2 linked regions of the Mytilus edulis genome follow. Each later gene encodes a partner of the first gene's protein in a complex. Links are inferred from orthologs where the notes say so. Each region holds a gene or a part of one and is shown on either strand. Other genes may lie near its edges.

Evidence for each region. Proteins that work in one complex are often made in the same cells at the same time.
Region 2: mitochondrial import inner membrane translocase subunit TIM50-C-like (region 1) and mitochondrial import inner membrane translocase subunit Tim23-like share a complex: the UniProt entries of both Homo sapiens proteins name them as parts of the TIM23 complex. The link is inferred for Mytilus edulis from reciprocal best matches to the Homo sapiens genes TIMM50 and TIMM23.

The regions. Positions count from the first base shown.
Region 1 is NC_092346.1:56,749,469-56,756,664, forward strand, and holds the start of mitochondrial import inner membrane translocase subunit TIM50-C-like, read right to left. Parts: upstream 3,065-7,196; 5' UTR 3,036-3,064; coding exon 2,648-3,035; intron 251-2,647; coding exon 219-250; intron 1-218. UniProt on the Homo sapiens protein: Essential component of the TIM23 complex, a complex that mediates the translocation of transit peptide-containing proteins across the mitochondrial inner membrane. Has some phosphatase activity in vitro; however such activity may not be relevant in vivo.
Region 2 is NC_092352.1:1,173,113-1,180,219, forward strand, and holds the start of mitochondrial import inner membrane translocase subunit Tim23-like, read right to left. Parts: upstream 3,104-7,107; 5' UTR 3,029-3,103; coding exon 2,956-3,028; intron 1-2,955. UniProt on the Homo sapiens protein: Essential component of the TIM23 complex, a complex that mediates the translocation of transit peptide-containing proteins across the mitochondrial inner membrane.

The sequences.
Region 1 (7,196 bases):
TTAGATCTAGATCTTATTATGTTTTGACTGTCAAGAAGTTACTGGTTAGTAATGTTAGTCTTATTATTTCTTACAATCAAACAAAATCTATCTTTCAAGAAAGTTATTGGCAAAATATTTCCACCACTGCAGGCTGGCATTCACCAATGTTTTGTAATACTTTGTGTACACAGAAGTATTCTTTATCCAGATAAATATTATAATATAGAGAATTTTACCTCTTTCCCTCCTGGATCCACCAGAGGTGCTCCTAAAAAATAAGAGAAAGTTCTACAGAATTTCAAATGTTAAATAATCTAATCCTTCAGTATGTAATTACTTTAATTTGGATAGATATACATGTTTTTATAATTATGTCCACATACACTGTACAAGGAACTTGCATACAAAACACACAACTTAAATTCCTGGAGTTAAATTGTACTTTTATTGTGGAGAAATGTTTACATTGTATATCTCTAAGTTAAAGTCTTTATTATCAGACTGTAACAAAGTATCTACCATTTAAAATAATGTTTTATTTTATAAAGTTTTAAGGTAATATCTGTGTACCACAATAGATATATATATCTGGGCACAGGGTTTCCCCTGGGTCAATTATTTTTTTCGCCACCTCTTTCGCCAAAACAATATATTTTTCGCCACTTTATTATTTTTTTCGCCAAATATATTTTTCCTTTAAAATTTTCTTTTTTTCAAGCACCCCCCCCCCCCCCCCCCCCCCAAATGAGAAGTGTTTTTTAACAACAAAACGAAGAATCTTATTACTTGGAATTGATCCCTCGTGTAAGGTGTAGTCATTATATTGAAGGGTTACTCTCATGCCAACCTTTTAAATAGATTTCTTCATAACGACAGTTTTCTTTTCTAGACCATCGTAAATAAGTAAAACTATATGCTTGAAACACCTGTGTTACAGAAACGACTTTGAAGTACCCACTCAAATCAATGATCTATATGAAAGTTAAATGATAAAGTTTAAAATCAGAGACCTTTCTAGCTTTTGAACATTTTTCGTCATAACAATAATTTTCTTTTCAAAAGAAGGAGAGGAAGCGTAAATTTTGCTTCAAACACGTGCGTCGCAAAGCGGTAAATAAATCCCTTTTGAGACATGTGACAGAAGCCATTTAACCATATCATTTTGTCATATCATACAATCAACACCTTTATTAATTAGTCCTTTGATGTCGATAGCTATAAATGCAATCAGCTGATTATTGATTTTCTGTCGAAATCTTAACGAGTTCAAGGTGAATTCCGAGTATTGTCTGATCGGTAAAGTCAGAGAAACCCGAAAATAGTAAACAAACAAGATGGCTGAAAATAAATCGTTATATATATTTCTTTCGCCAAATTCTTTCGCCAATGACGAATTTTAATCGCCACAATTATTATTTTTTCGCAAATTGCGAAAATGGCGACCGCCAGCGGAAACCCTGTCTGGGCAACAATAGGTGATTTACATCTGTGTAACTGCTTGGCCATACTTTTAAGTGAAAGTCATATGTTATTCCGACTTCTGCTGACTTGAAAGAAAATGAACATCCAAATAAGGTTTTTAATTTTCTTAAACATAAAGTGCATTTAACTTTAATATTAACATGATTATAGGATCAGCCATCCCTTAAAACTTTCCTAGATGAACAAGTTTGCCTGTAGTCAAGAGATTTTGACATGCATGGTGAACCTTAATGAATTTCAAAGCTGGTAGCATTACACAACATAGAAGGAAGATAAAGAAATTTCTGAATTTTTACGCTAATTTAACTTGATTGTTAGGTTATAAGGTAGCAATACACAGTTAGGAGTTTAGTTTCGCATTTTGGCCCTGGCAGTGAATTTTTTTTAAATAGGAAAGTTATTGTGTAATAAAATTCATTTTTAGACAGCTGAGTGCTAATTTAGCCTTCAAAGATGGTTTATAAGAGCATCAAGATTATTTTTTACATGTTTTATGGGCTGTTTTCTGTTTGACAATCCGTATTTTCATAGCTAGACCAGCCATACAGAAATTTAAAATAATGTTTACAAACACTTTTTTCTACATGAAGTTTTTGACGCAATTTTACAAAAAAATGAAAATATGATTTTCATTTGATTTGCTGAATGATATATGTACACAGATTTAGAAAAGGTATTACTTCAAGCGATTGAAATTCTACTTTTAGCCAAATTGTGGGGAAATATGTGACATCTTTTCCCCCCTTTTTGCAATATTTGATAACAAATAAATGCAGATTGTTGCCATGGATACACCCAAAAGAAATTATATTTTACCATTTTATATATATATACTTGATATAAAATCTATGGAAGATTCTGATTACATACATATGCACATATTTGACACAAACAGTAAGCTTGATATTGCAAGAAAGCAATGAAAAGGGGATGGTTAAATTTTTAAGGGCAAATTTAATTTTTTTCCTAACTGTTTATTGCTACCTAAGGTAAAATTGCTCTTGATCTCTATGTACAGTAACACTAAAAAACAGACAATTGCTAAAGGCCTACACTTGCTACAGGTAGAAAAGTTGGTTGCTGGGTAGGTAAAATAGTTTTCTCTTATATACAAGAGTCAAAAAAAATTTTTTTTTTTCTTAAATGGTTAGGTAAACCCAATTTGGGTTTATGATGCAATTACCCCTTAAATAAACAAAGGGGCCACCAATAAGTAAGGCTGTTGCTCCAAGAGATATCAATCCTATTTTCCAAGCATTTTTCTGTCCTTTCCATTTTGATTCTTTTTCCTTTTTATCCTCTTCTTTCTTTTTATTAGTTTCTTCAGGGTCTGTAGGAGCATCGAAAGGGGCAGCTTTCACCAAAAATTCATCAGTCACAGAACTCGTCTGTTTGGAATAACAACAAACACATGGTATATTTGTTATGACAGGATACGAGTTTCGTTTTGTCCATTTTAAAACAACATTTTCTCCATCAAATTTTGCACAAAACGTGCGTGAATATGTTTTATGTGACTGTAGACGAATAAATGTTTTTAAAATACATGTGTGGGTCCTGAGAGCTGACATGTTTATACTGAATTGTGGGTACTCATTCGTCCCAAGTAACTCGTCCCTTCATTTCGCCACACTTCATATCAATAACTATACAAAGAAATTTCGGTTGAATATCGCCATCACTGAAATTCAGATATATTTTCACCTTGATATTCAAGATAGAATAAATTAGGGTTTGGATGGGGTTAAATGATTAAAGAATAATGCCCTTAAAAAATGAAGATTAGAGAATAAAGGGCAAAAAAAATGAACTTCGGATTAAGATACGTAGTCCTAGTCTAATTTTTTGAAGATTAGAGAAAAAAGAGGTCAATTTTTTGAAAATTAGAGAAAAAAGAGGTGAAAATTAAATGTTTACCAGAATAACAGACCCGCCATCGAGACCCTCATAAGTTTGAAATGGAATCTGTTCCGGAATTGAAACGTGTTTTCCCCGTTCTCTAGCGACTTTTAGTTTACAGGCTTCCGGTTGAAATTTTTAGACCCAGCCTTCCAAAAGTAAGAAGAACGCAAACATTTAATAGCAGACAGGTAACCAATTTGCACGGGGTATCAATTTGAAGACGTTAGAAATTTGTGCCATATAAAATTTAAAAAAAAATTAAACTGTTTCTTGTCAAACCCTACCATTAGGAATTACTGAATACTGGCTTTACTTTAGGCTTTTTGCAGCTGACCATTTTATGAGGGTAGTAATGCCCTTTAACCTCAGAGTGAAACAGTCAGTTATGGCTACTATAAATGACAAATTGATTTGAATTTTACCAGGATTGTTCAAAATATCCTTACCGTCAGCGATCTCAAATATTATCCTTACCGTTATTTTTATGCCTCATTTATGGGCATTATGTTTTCTGGTCTGTGGGTCCATTCAACCGTCCGTGGTACATCATGTATGATTGTTAATAAGACAACTATCCACCAAAGTTCAAATGAAGTGGATGTAAGTTATTAATTAAGGCAACTGTACATCCTTTAACCCTGGCATGTACCAATTCCAGATCAACTAAATACATATTGTTATAAACATGTTATGCACTTTCATGGATCTACAAGCTGTCGACTACTGCATAGCCCAAGGTCATATTTTTCTCTGACTGTTTCAGTATGATGTCTTTGTTAGATGTTGGATGTGTATGATTGATAATTTAGTCTTAGATGCATGATTTTTTTTAGTTGTTATTGGCTTTCAACTAGCTGTCTTTTTGTTGTTGGGATGTACAAGTACCCATTCATATCCACTCTGTATTTTTTATACCCCCGTTTTAAAAAAGTGGGGGTAAACTGGTTTACCTCTGTCTGTCCGTTCATCCATCCGTCCATCCGTCAGTCACGTTTGTATGTATGTACCTGTCCCAATTCCCAAATCAGGAGCCTGTTTTTCAGTAGTTGTCATGTGTTGCTGTGTTACTTATTTGTTTCTCGTACATATGATAGATATACTGTTCCCAGGTTCATTGTATTGGAGACACTGCCACTTTTAACGTTTAATGCTAAAATGAGTCATATGTGACAAATCAGTGTCCTGTTTTGTCTGAATTTCTTGACGGTGATTCTTTAAGATATTTGACCATAGTAGAAAATTTGTAGAATCCGGAATTGTTAGGAATTTTTTTTGGCTAGAACGGGGGGGAAGTGTAGGTTTTTTTTTTTTTTATATCGTACCATTGACCATCATCGACGCTGAATTCAAAATGGTGTGCCATTTAGCTAGCTGGGCAACCGTAGCTCTTATGGTTTATTTTGACAATTTGCGGACCACATGATATATGATCTGTAAATTGTCAAAAATATTACAAGGATACGAGTTACAGTTCCATAGCTATACATTTTGTACCTTAACATCGGATACATCTTTAAATCTTTTATAAATAAGAATATTTTATGTGTTTCCCCAGAGAACAAAAATATTTGAGCGCTCTTTATAACTTGCTGTTCAGTGTGAGCCAAGGCTCTGTGTTTAAGTCCGTACTTTGACATATAAGACATATGATTGTTTACTTTTTGAGAGACCTAGAGTTGTCTCATTCACAGCCTGTTTCTGGTAAAATAGTAGTTATTTTCTTTATGTTCGTAGTTTTATATTGTTTATTTAATTCATTTAAAATGAAAGAATATTTCTTTTATTTTACCTATCGAGAAGTTTAAGTTTTATAAACACCCCGCATGTGCGTAAATGTAAACAAAGAATTGTGGGTGTAATTGCACATAAAATTTCCATAATTGTCACTGTGTCAATGAAAAAGGTGTGTCATAGACTGTCAACTTCCAATCAAAGCCTGGTGACATAGTTCACTTTCCAATATTTAAAGGATCGACTATTTGAAGCTCAGGTAAAACACGTCAACAAAAGAAATAGGCGTATCGTAACGAGGTCACTCGCCTTTGTAGAAGTTCCGATCGTTTTCCAAAGTTTTAATACCACGGCACTAAGTTCATCTCTTTAGTTGGATATTTCCACAGTTTCAAATCATTTTAAATGTATTTTTTCTCGATTACTATCTTCATCAGTTAAATGTATTTACATACAATCTTGAATGGATGCCATTGTTATTACTGATTTGTTTGCATGAGGTGCGGTCATGTGACTGATAAATGAATATTCATGACTTATTAGTGACGTATCTACCGATCTTTGCTATTAATCAAAAATTTAGGTTAGTTCACTTATTTTTTGTATCAGTAATTGTCTTGAAACAGTTAGTAAATTTTGAAAACTTTTAATTACCATGATAACATGTATAACAAAACATTTTATTTTTTTTAATTTATTCCCCTTCAAATGTCTATTAACAATTTTAGTCAGTTGAATATTTAGAAGAAGTGATTATATATGTTTGCAATCACGAAAGATAAAATCCACATTTCAATAAAATAAGATTTTTTAATTTCAAATTTGTTAACGTTGAAAAACATGAAAAAGTACATTTTCAAGGCTCTGTGCTGAAAAATACTTTATAAATTAATCAAAAGGTACTCTACAATCTTCAATGTCATATAACCTATGTTTCAACTTACAAAATGCCCCAAAGCAACATTTTTAGATTATTTTTGTTGACACTTTTAATAAAGTTCTTAGTTTAAGTTTATCTGTTGGTTGTATGTCTTACAAGGATTATTGGTGAAATTTACTAGGAGAATTTTAGATTTGCAATTTTTTATCTTCATACTGGAAAAACACTTTTCCTTCCAAAGACCTGTTGTTTATGTTATTTTCAGCATAAGTGCTTTATTAATGTCCCCACCATACCTTGATGAAAATATTCAAACTACTCTTCCAATCTTTCCATGAGTGATATCCATCACTTTGATTGATGAAGTTGAAGTCCAATCAACTTGAAATTTAGTACACATGTTCCTTATAATATGATCTTTCTAATTTTAATGCCAAATCAGAGGTTTTCCCCCATTTTCATGGTCCACTGAACATAGAAAATGATAGTATGGATGGGGCATCATTGTACTATGAACACATTTTTGTTGTAAATCATTCAATTTTTTTATCATCTAAAAGGAAGTGCAGATTTTATTGTCATGCAACAAAAATTACCGTTTACGTCATTAAGCAAGAATCTTCACCGTTTATCCTCCCTTATACAGCATTACAGATCAGCCAGGGAATAACCACAAATTGATGGAATATACCAATTTTTGCATACATGTATCATATACACATGATACATGTATCTTTTCTCATAATATGAGAAAGACAAGTCATTTTCTGCACATCATCATAAACCATGTTTATGGATTGGAAAAGATCTTCATACAATGAATGACAACCTTGTCAATAAAAATTCCTCATATTGAAGGCATACTAATGTTTTTGTAGTAATTATGATTAGCATAACACTACCTAATTGTAGTCTATTTTATCGTCGGGTCATGGTCATAGCTAATAAAGATATGATACGAAATGGACATGTGTTCAAAACATACTCGCTAATAATTTCTGATAATATCAATAAAATGTCATTCAAGCTAGTTTTATAGTGATGCCAGTGTATCAAAGTTGTATTCTTTCACTACAAATTTGTTAAAATTGTATTCATTTCATCACAGAATGATACAGAATGCAAACAGGGTAATACAAAAATGGTGCAGACTGCATTCCCTAATTAACAAACCATTATAAAACACTTCAAATCAAATAAATCAAACTTATTAAAAAAA
Region 2 (7,107 bases), on another chromosome or scaffold:
TTGTCGTATCGTCAAAATTTAAATGTTTTTCTTCTCTGTTGAGGCATATATATGATAGAAAGATTTCATATCGAATATACTAAATTTGGGGTCCGACGTCCGTGAACTTCTAATTGGGAACCAGGTAAAAGGATCAATATATGAATCTGTGATTTTTCTCCATCGTTGAAGCATATGATAAAAAGATCATAACATGTCATTTTTCATATCGCATGTATTATCAGCCCTCAAGCCGTGCGGCTCTTGGGCTGATATTGAACTTAGGGCTGATAATACATGCGATATGAAAAATGCCATGTAATAATCTGATATTATTGGTTTATATAGTTTTTAAAAGAATCTGCAAAATTTAAACATAGGAATTTGCAAGTTTTCTGTTACATGTATTTACGTGATATAATTATCCCTTTTCTTTACATCATTTATGTTGTCAAACATTTACTCTTGTGATGTCACAGTGGTAAGGGATGACCAGTATAGTGGGGTCATGTAAAGGGAGATAATCCAAAGTTACATGTATTTATCATGTTAAAATATTGTGTGAATTGATACAATATTTCATGGGTCGATTCTGGTCTGTTTCTTTTCTTCTTCTGTTGTACCAAAACTTTGAAATACTGAAGATTACTTGTTGACGTGCATGGTTATTAATGTTAGCATTATTTATAGTTCCATAACTCTTTCTCCAGAGACCGGCCATGTAATTATTCTTGTCGAGAGCACCTGCTTCTTGCACGTGCCTGACTTCCTGTCCAGCCAGGCTCGTTGTCCCCAGGAACTATAAGTATGAAGTCACTCCCCGTGTTCAGGGAAGTCTACACTTAGGATTTGAAATGAGCAGACGCTCATACCGTTTAGCTTACAAATATGGAACCTTCATTATACAACAAGTAGACTAGCCGCCTCCGTATTTTAGTATATATGTTATATTGTAAGTATGTTCAACCATATATGTCTTTTAAAATAAACATCTTTATGTTAACTGCAGTTTTACGTGTATAGACGCCGTCAGCTGAAATTCGTAGCTGTTATCTGTAAAAATAATCTAAACTATCAATCGCGTTCACTCGAGATAATAGTTTTTCACATTCCATTCATAAATCGAAAAAAGAAAAACCACTACTGACCTACCTTTTAAGTGATCGCACTGTAATAATCCTGACCTTCACATTTTCCAAGATGATTTTGAATGGTGAAATCCGCCATTGTTTTTACCGGAAGTGTTTCCGTGGAGTTCAATTTCATAAAATTTGCATAAAGCGCTGGAAACCTTATCACATCAATGAAAAGAACATTTCAGGAAACTGCGTAAGTGACGAATGTCATATGTAAACAAATGATCCTCATAGAAACGAAGATGGCGGAATTACAATGGAAAACATTCTGGAAAATACACCTTATCGCTATTCCCGCTTGACCCGAGAATCTGTCCCGCTTGAACTTTTGACGTCATACAACAATCTCTTTTCCATTGTGGCGTCAGATATTTTCTTTTATGACGTCAAAATTTTACGGGAACTTGTGTGATGTCCAGTAATGGCGGACAAATAGCGATAAGGTGTATGTGAAGGTCAGGATTATTACAGTGCGATCACTCAACTAGAGGCTCTAAAGAGCCTGTGTCGCTCACCTTGGTCTATGTGAATATTAAAGGAAGCAGATGGATTCATGACAAAATTGTGTTTTGGTGATGGTGATGTGTTTGTACATCTTACTTTACTGACCATTCTTGCTGCTTAAAATTATCTCTATCTATAATGAACTTGGCCCATTAGTTTCAGTGGAAAATGTTAGTAACAATTTTACCTCATGTCAGATTTGCTCTAAATGCTTTGGGTTTTGAGTTATAGGCCAAAAATTGCATTTTACCCCATGTTCTATTTTTAGCCATGGCGGCCATCTTGGTTTGATGGCCGGGTCACCGGACACATTTTTCAAACTACTAACCCAAAACATGATTGTGGCCAAGTTTCGATTAATTTGGCCCAGTAGTTTCAGAGGAGAAGATTTTTGTAAAATATTACTAAGATTTACGAAAAATGGTTAAAAATTGACTATTAAGGGCAATAACTCCTAAAGGGGTCAACTGACCATTTCAGTCCTGTTGACTTATTTGTTAATCTTACTTTGCTGAACATTATTGCTGTTTACTGTTTATCTCTATCTATAATAATATTCAAGATAATAACCAAAAACCAGCAAAATTTCCTTAAAATTACTAATTCAGGGCCAGCAACCCAACAACGGGTTATCTGATTCATCTGAAAATTTCAGGGCAGATAGATCTTCACCTGTTTAACAATTCTTCCCCATGTCAGATTTGCTCTAAATGCTTTGGTTTTTGAGTTATAGGCCAAAAACTGCATTTTACCCCTATGTTCTATTTTTAGCCATGGCGGCCATCTTGGATGGTTGGCCGAGTCACCGGACACATTTTTTAAACTAGATACCCCAATGATGATTGTGGCCAAGTAGTTTCAGAGGAGAAGATTTTTGTAAAAGTTAACGACGACGCCGGACGCCGGACGCCAAGTGATGAGAAAAGCTCACTTGGCCTTTTAGGCCAGGTGAGCTAAAAAGTAGGTCAGTAGTGGTTTTTCTTTTTGCAATTTATGAATGGAATGTGAAAAACTATATCTCGAGTGAACGCGATTGATAGTTTAGATTATTTTTAGCGATAACCGCTACGAATTTCAGCTGACGGCGACTATAGTTTGTCCAATATCCCAGAACTTGGGTAGACAACGGAACTTACAAGCCAGTGGAAACACCACTTCTGTTACAGATCTTCCTGTTATTTGTTGCAGTCTGATTGAGATTTCATTTTTCATATATGTTGTAACATAAAGCTTTTAAACCTTTTATTTATAAACAATAATGATCATGATGATGTTACATAAAATTATTTATCACTCATACTTCTGCAAGTCTTCTAGCACACGATTAATTACATACCTGGGACATTCATTGGTTGATCATAAGGCGAGTTAGCAAAGAACCCTGATCGCTTCTTTTGATTGTTATCCATGATGAAATTATCAGTCGCTGCTTACTGTTGATGAAACATGTGCGTCATTGAAAACGGAAGGTCGAAAAAGGGATATAAATAAAGACAGAAGCTAAGATAAGAATGTCAACCCGAGCTTGGGCCCAAATAGATTTTTTTCATTATTAGTTTTATTAGGTCTCAAAAATTCAAAATAAAAATATTCTTTGTTTTATGGATCTTAATTATATAAACTAATAATTGATACATGATGATATTTTTTTTAACTATATCTTGGAAATATTTAAATCCCAAGTATATTTGACGGTTCATTTTCATGATTTTAGAGTTTACATTTGCAAACATGTGCTTCCGGTTAATATCAAAACATTCTCAAGGTAAAAAAAAAACCATGCTTCAGACAAAAAATAATTACAAACATAATCTGTATCTTTACATTTTAAAAATGTTTTCAATTTCCGCTATACTGAATAAAAACCATTGCCATAATAATTCACAATTGTCACTACTACAATAGCAAATAATGAAATATTCCATGCACATTCATTTCCATTTTTATTTTTTCCCCCGTGATTTTGGGAATGGTGCAATTTTTTTTATTTTATATAATTAAATTTATATGCGAGTTCGTGGTCTAGTGGTTAAGGTTGATGGCTACAGTGCTGAAGGTCCGGTGACTTGCAGCCTGGGTGCTAAAAATAGCAGAAGGGTGATTTCAGAGATATGCACAGATCTCTAATATCAGGTTCGTTCGTGCCCAATACACTTTCGCACCCTACACATTCGCACCTCCCATGTTAGTCCGAGATTACTCTGACGTCCAACAGCTGTTTTGCCAGACAAGCTGGGGCCGTGGGACGTCAGAGCTCGTCCCATATCAAAAAGTGGATATTTGACCAACCAAAATAGATGCGCTGCTTCGTCGCTTCTGGTGCCGATTGAGGGCCTTGGAATTATATAAATCGGGCACCAATCTGTTCATTTTTCATTTATCTCTTCATTTATGTAAGTTTCACCTACCTGCCAACCTTTATTTTTCCATATTTTAACAGTTTTCACAGAGACCCATCGATTTCTGCATTTTGACTTTCACTTTCAAATGGACGTCAAGTTACGAGAGAGTTCGTGGCCTCGAGACTCAAATATGCAAATATTTATATGTTTTCACCTCCTTTATAGGAGATCGATGTTTAACATTTAGAAGCTAACCACGATTTTTCACCTCCTTTACAGGAGATCGGTATTAAGCATTTAGTTTCGACCACGATAACAATCGGAAGCTCTCGGACATTTAGATAACTTGCATCGTAAATGAACGAGGTGTTACATTATGGTCATTTGCAATGTTTTCTCGTGGTCACGTGATAATCTTTGAAAATGAATGTCAAAATGCAGAAATCGATGGGTCTCTGTGAAAACCGTTAAAATATGGAAAAATAAAGGTTGGCAGGTAGGTGAAACTTACATAAATGAAGAGATAAATGAAAAATGAACAGATTGGTGCCCGATTTATATAATTCCATGGCCCTCAATTGGCACCAGAAGCGATGAAGCAGCGCATCTATTTTGGGTGGGCAAATATCCACTTTTTGATATGGGACGAGCTCTGACGTCCCACGGCCCCAGCTTGTCTGGCAAAACAGCCGTTGGACGTCAGAGTAATCTTGGACTACTCCCATGTTAGCACCCAATTCTAAATAAAATTCCAGTTGAATAATTAGAAAACCAAGATTGTTGTTTTTAATTGATTTGATGTAAATACTGCATGTATTTAGCTTCGTATGAGTAAAAACCTTGAAGATTTTAAATGAAAAACACAAAAGATTTAAACAGCTTGGCCCCTTTTATCTGAAACAATGAAACAAAAAATCATAGCAATGCACTAACCAAAACATGATGAAAATTTATTCAACACCAAAAAATAAGTTGTCATAGTCTAACTTCATTTTGAAACAATGAACAAAAAGTTAGCAATACACTTAACCAAAACAAGATTAAGATTTATTCAACACAAAAAAAAACATGTGTCTCACTTTAATTTAAGACAATGACAACAAATATACTTACAATAGGAATACACTTGCCAAAACTTGATTACAAAGTTTTTAAACACAAAACCAATAATTGGGCGCAAACGTGTAGGGTACAAAAGTGAAAGGGGGCGAACGTGATAGGGTGCAAACATGAATGGGCGTGAACGGACCCGGATTCCACATCTCTGGTAGTGGTACCCAGACCAGAGTTTAAACTAGAATGGGTACTTTGGGGGCATTGGTTGGTCAAAGATGCCCCTACTACAGTACTCTTAAGGACATGCTGAGATTGATAACTTTGAGAGACATTGTGTCTGACATGACAGTCTTAAGGACAGACACAAAAACCAGGTGTGATCTCATGCTGTTTAGCAATTAAGGTTACCTGAATCAAGGAGCATGACTGATAAACTGTTAGATTACATAACCATGATAACTATAAAACCTTGTTTACAAATATGTTATCAGCTAATAATTTCAAATTTTGCTTCTTTTACAGGTACTAAATAATATTATCCAAAGGGGATGAAGAAAATAAATGTTTCAATTATTTCAATAAAAAAACTGACCTTTTTAACATGATATATATACTTTTTTAGTTAAGTTTTATTAATTTTATTTCTTTTTATTTCTATTTTGTTTATTTGTTTTTGCCAAAAAAAAAAATTTATGACCTGGAGATCAATCTACAATCTAGTGTCCAGGTGGTTCTCTCTAAGTAACAGCTTCCTCCACCATTAGTAACCAAACTTTTAGCTTTAAGGATCAATATACATTTTTAAGACTATACATTGTGGTGGTATGACTGCACGTGGAATATGGAAACACAATTTGGTATCCACATTTTGTGAAAGATATTAATGCTGTGGAAAAAGATAAGAGCAACTAAATTAATTCCTGATATATAAGACATTTACAAATGTAAGCTATGGAGACAGATTAAAAGTACTTAAAGTACCTTCTCTTACTCATAGAAGGCGTTGATGAAATATTAATTAAGGTTCATGAGGACCCTTTGGCTAAAATGGCTGCATTTTCACATCAAAATTTATCCTGAGTACAGACACACCTGTGTAACTTGAATACTTTTAAGGCATAGCTTGCCCTAGATAAACAAAATTCAAAAATATTCTACATTTGTATGTTTTAGAAAAATTTCAAAAAATAACGATTTTGCTGAGAATTTTTTTTCATTCCTCCAGCATGTGCCAAAATAAATGGCTTTATCTTCTTCAAGCAAGAAGAAAAGCTAAAACCTTGAAAGTTGAACTTCGACTTGTATCTACTGTTCATCTATTGCCCATAGGTAATAATTGAAGTGAACTGCATTGATTGAAATGGACAAAAGATGAACGATAGATACATGACAATAATTGGTGATTTAAACTGTGGACCATATCGAGTGACACTAGACTGTTTGTTTATTTTATCATCTTCTGCAGGGATGAAAAAAGTGCACTGCCAAATCCAATTTTCTAAAACAAGTTATACATTTGGATTAAATTTATCTAGGGTATGTTTTCTCGTTTGAATTGTTTTACATTGTCTTATCTGGGCCTATTATAGCTGACTATGCGGTATGGGCTTTGCTCATTGTTGAAGGCCGTACGGTGACCTATAGTTGTTAATGTCTGTGTCATTTTGGTCTTTTGTGATAGTTGTACATTGGCAATCATACCACATCTTCTTTTTATACGACCGCAAAAATTTTAATTTTTCGTCGTATATTGCTATCACGTTGGCGTCGGCGTCGTCGTCGTCCGAATACTTTTAGTTTTCGCACTCTAACTATAGTGAAAGTGAATAGAAATCTAAGAAATTTTAACACAAGGTTTATGACCACAAAAGGAAGGTTGGGATTGATTTTGGGAGTTTTGGTCCCAACATTTTAGGAATTAGGGGCCAAAAAGGGCCCAAATAAGCATTTTCTTGGTTTTCGCACTATAACTTTAGTTTAAGTAAATTGAAATCTATGAAATTTTGACACAAGGTTTATGACCACAATAGGAAGGTTGGGAATGATTTTGGGAGTTTTGGTATCAACAGTTTAGGAATAAGGGGCCAAAA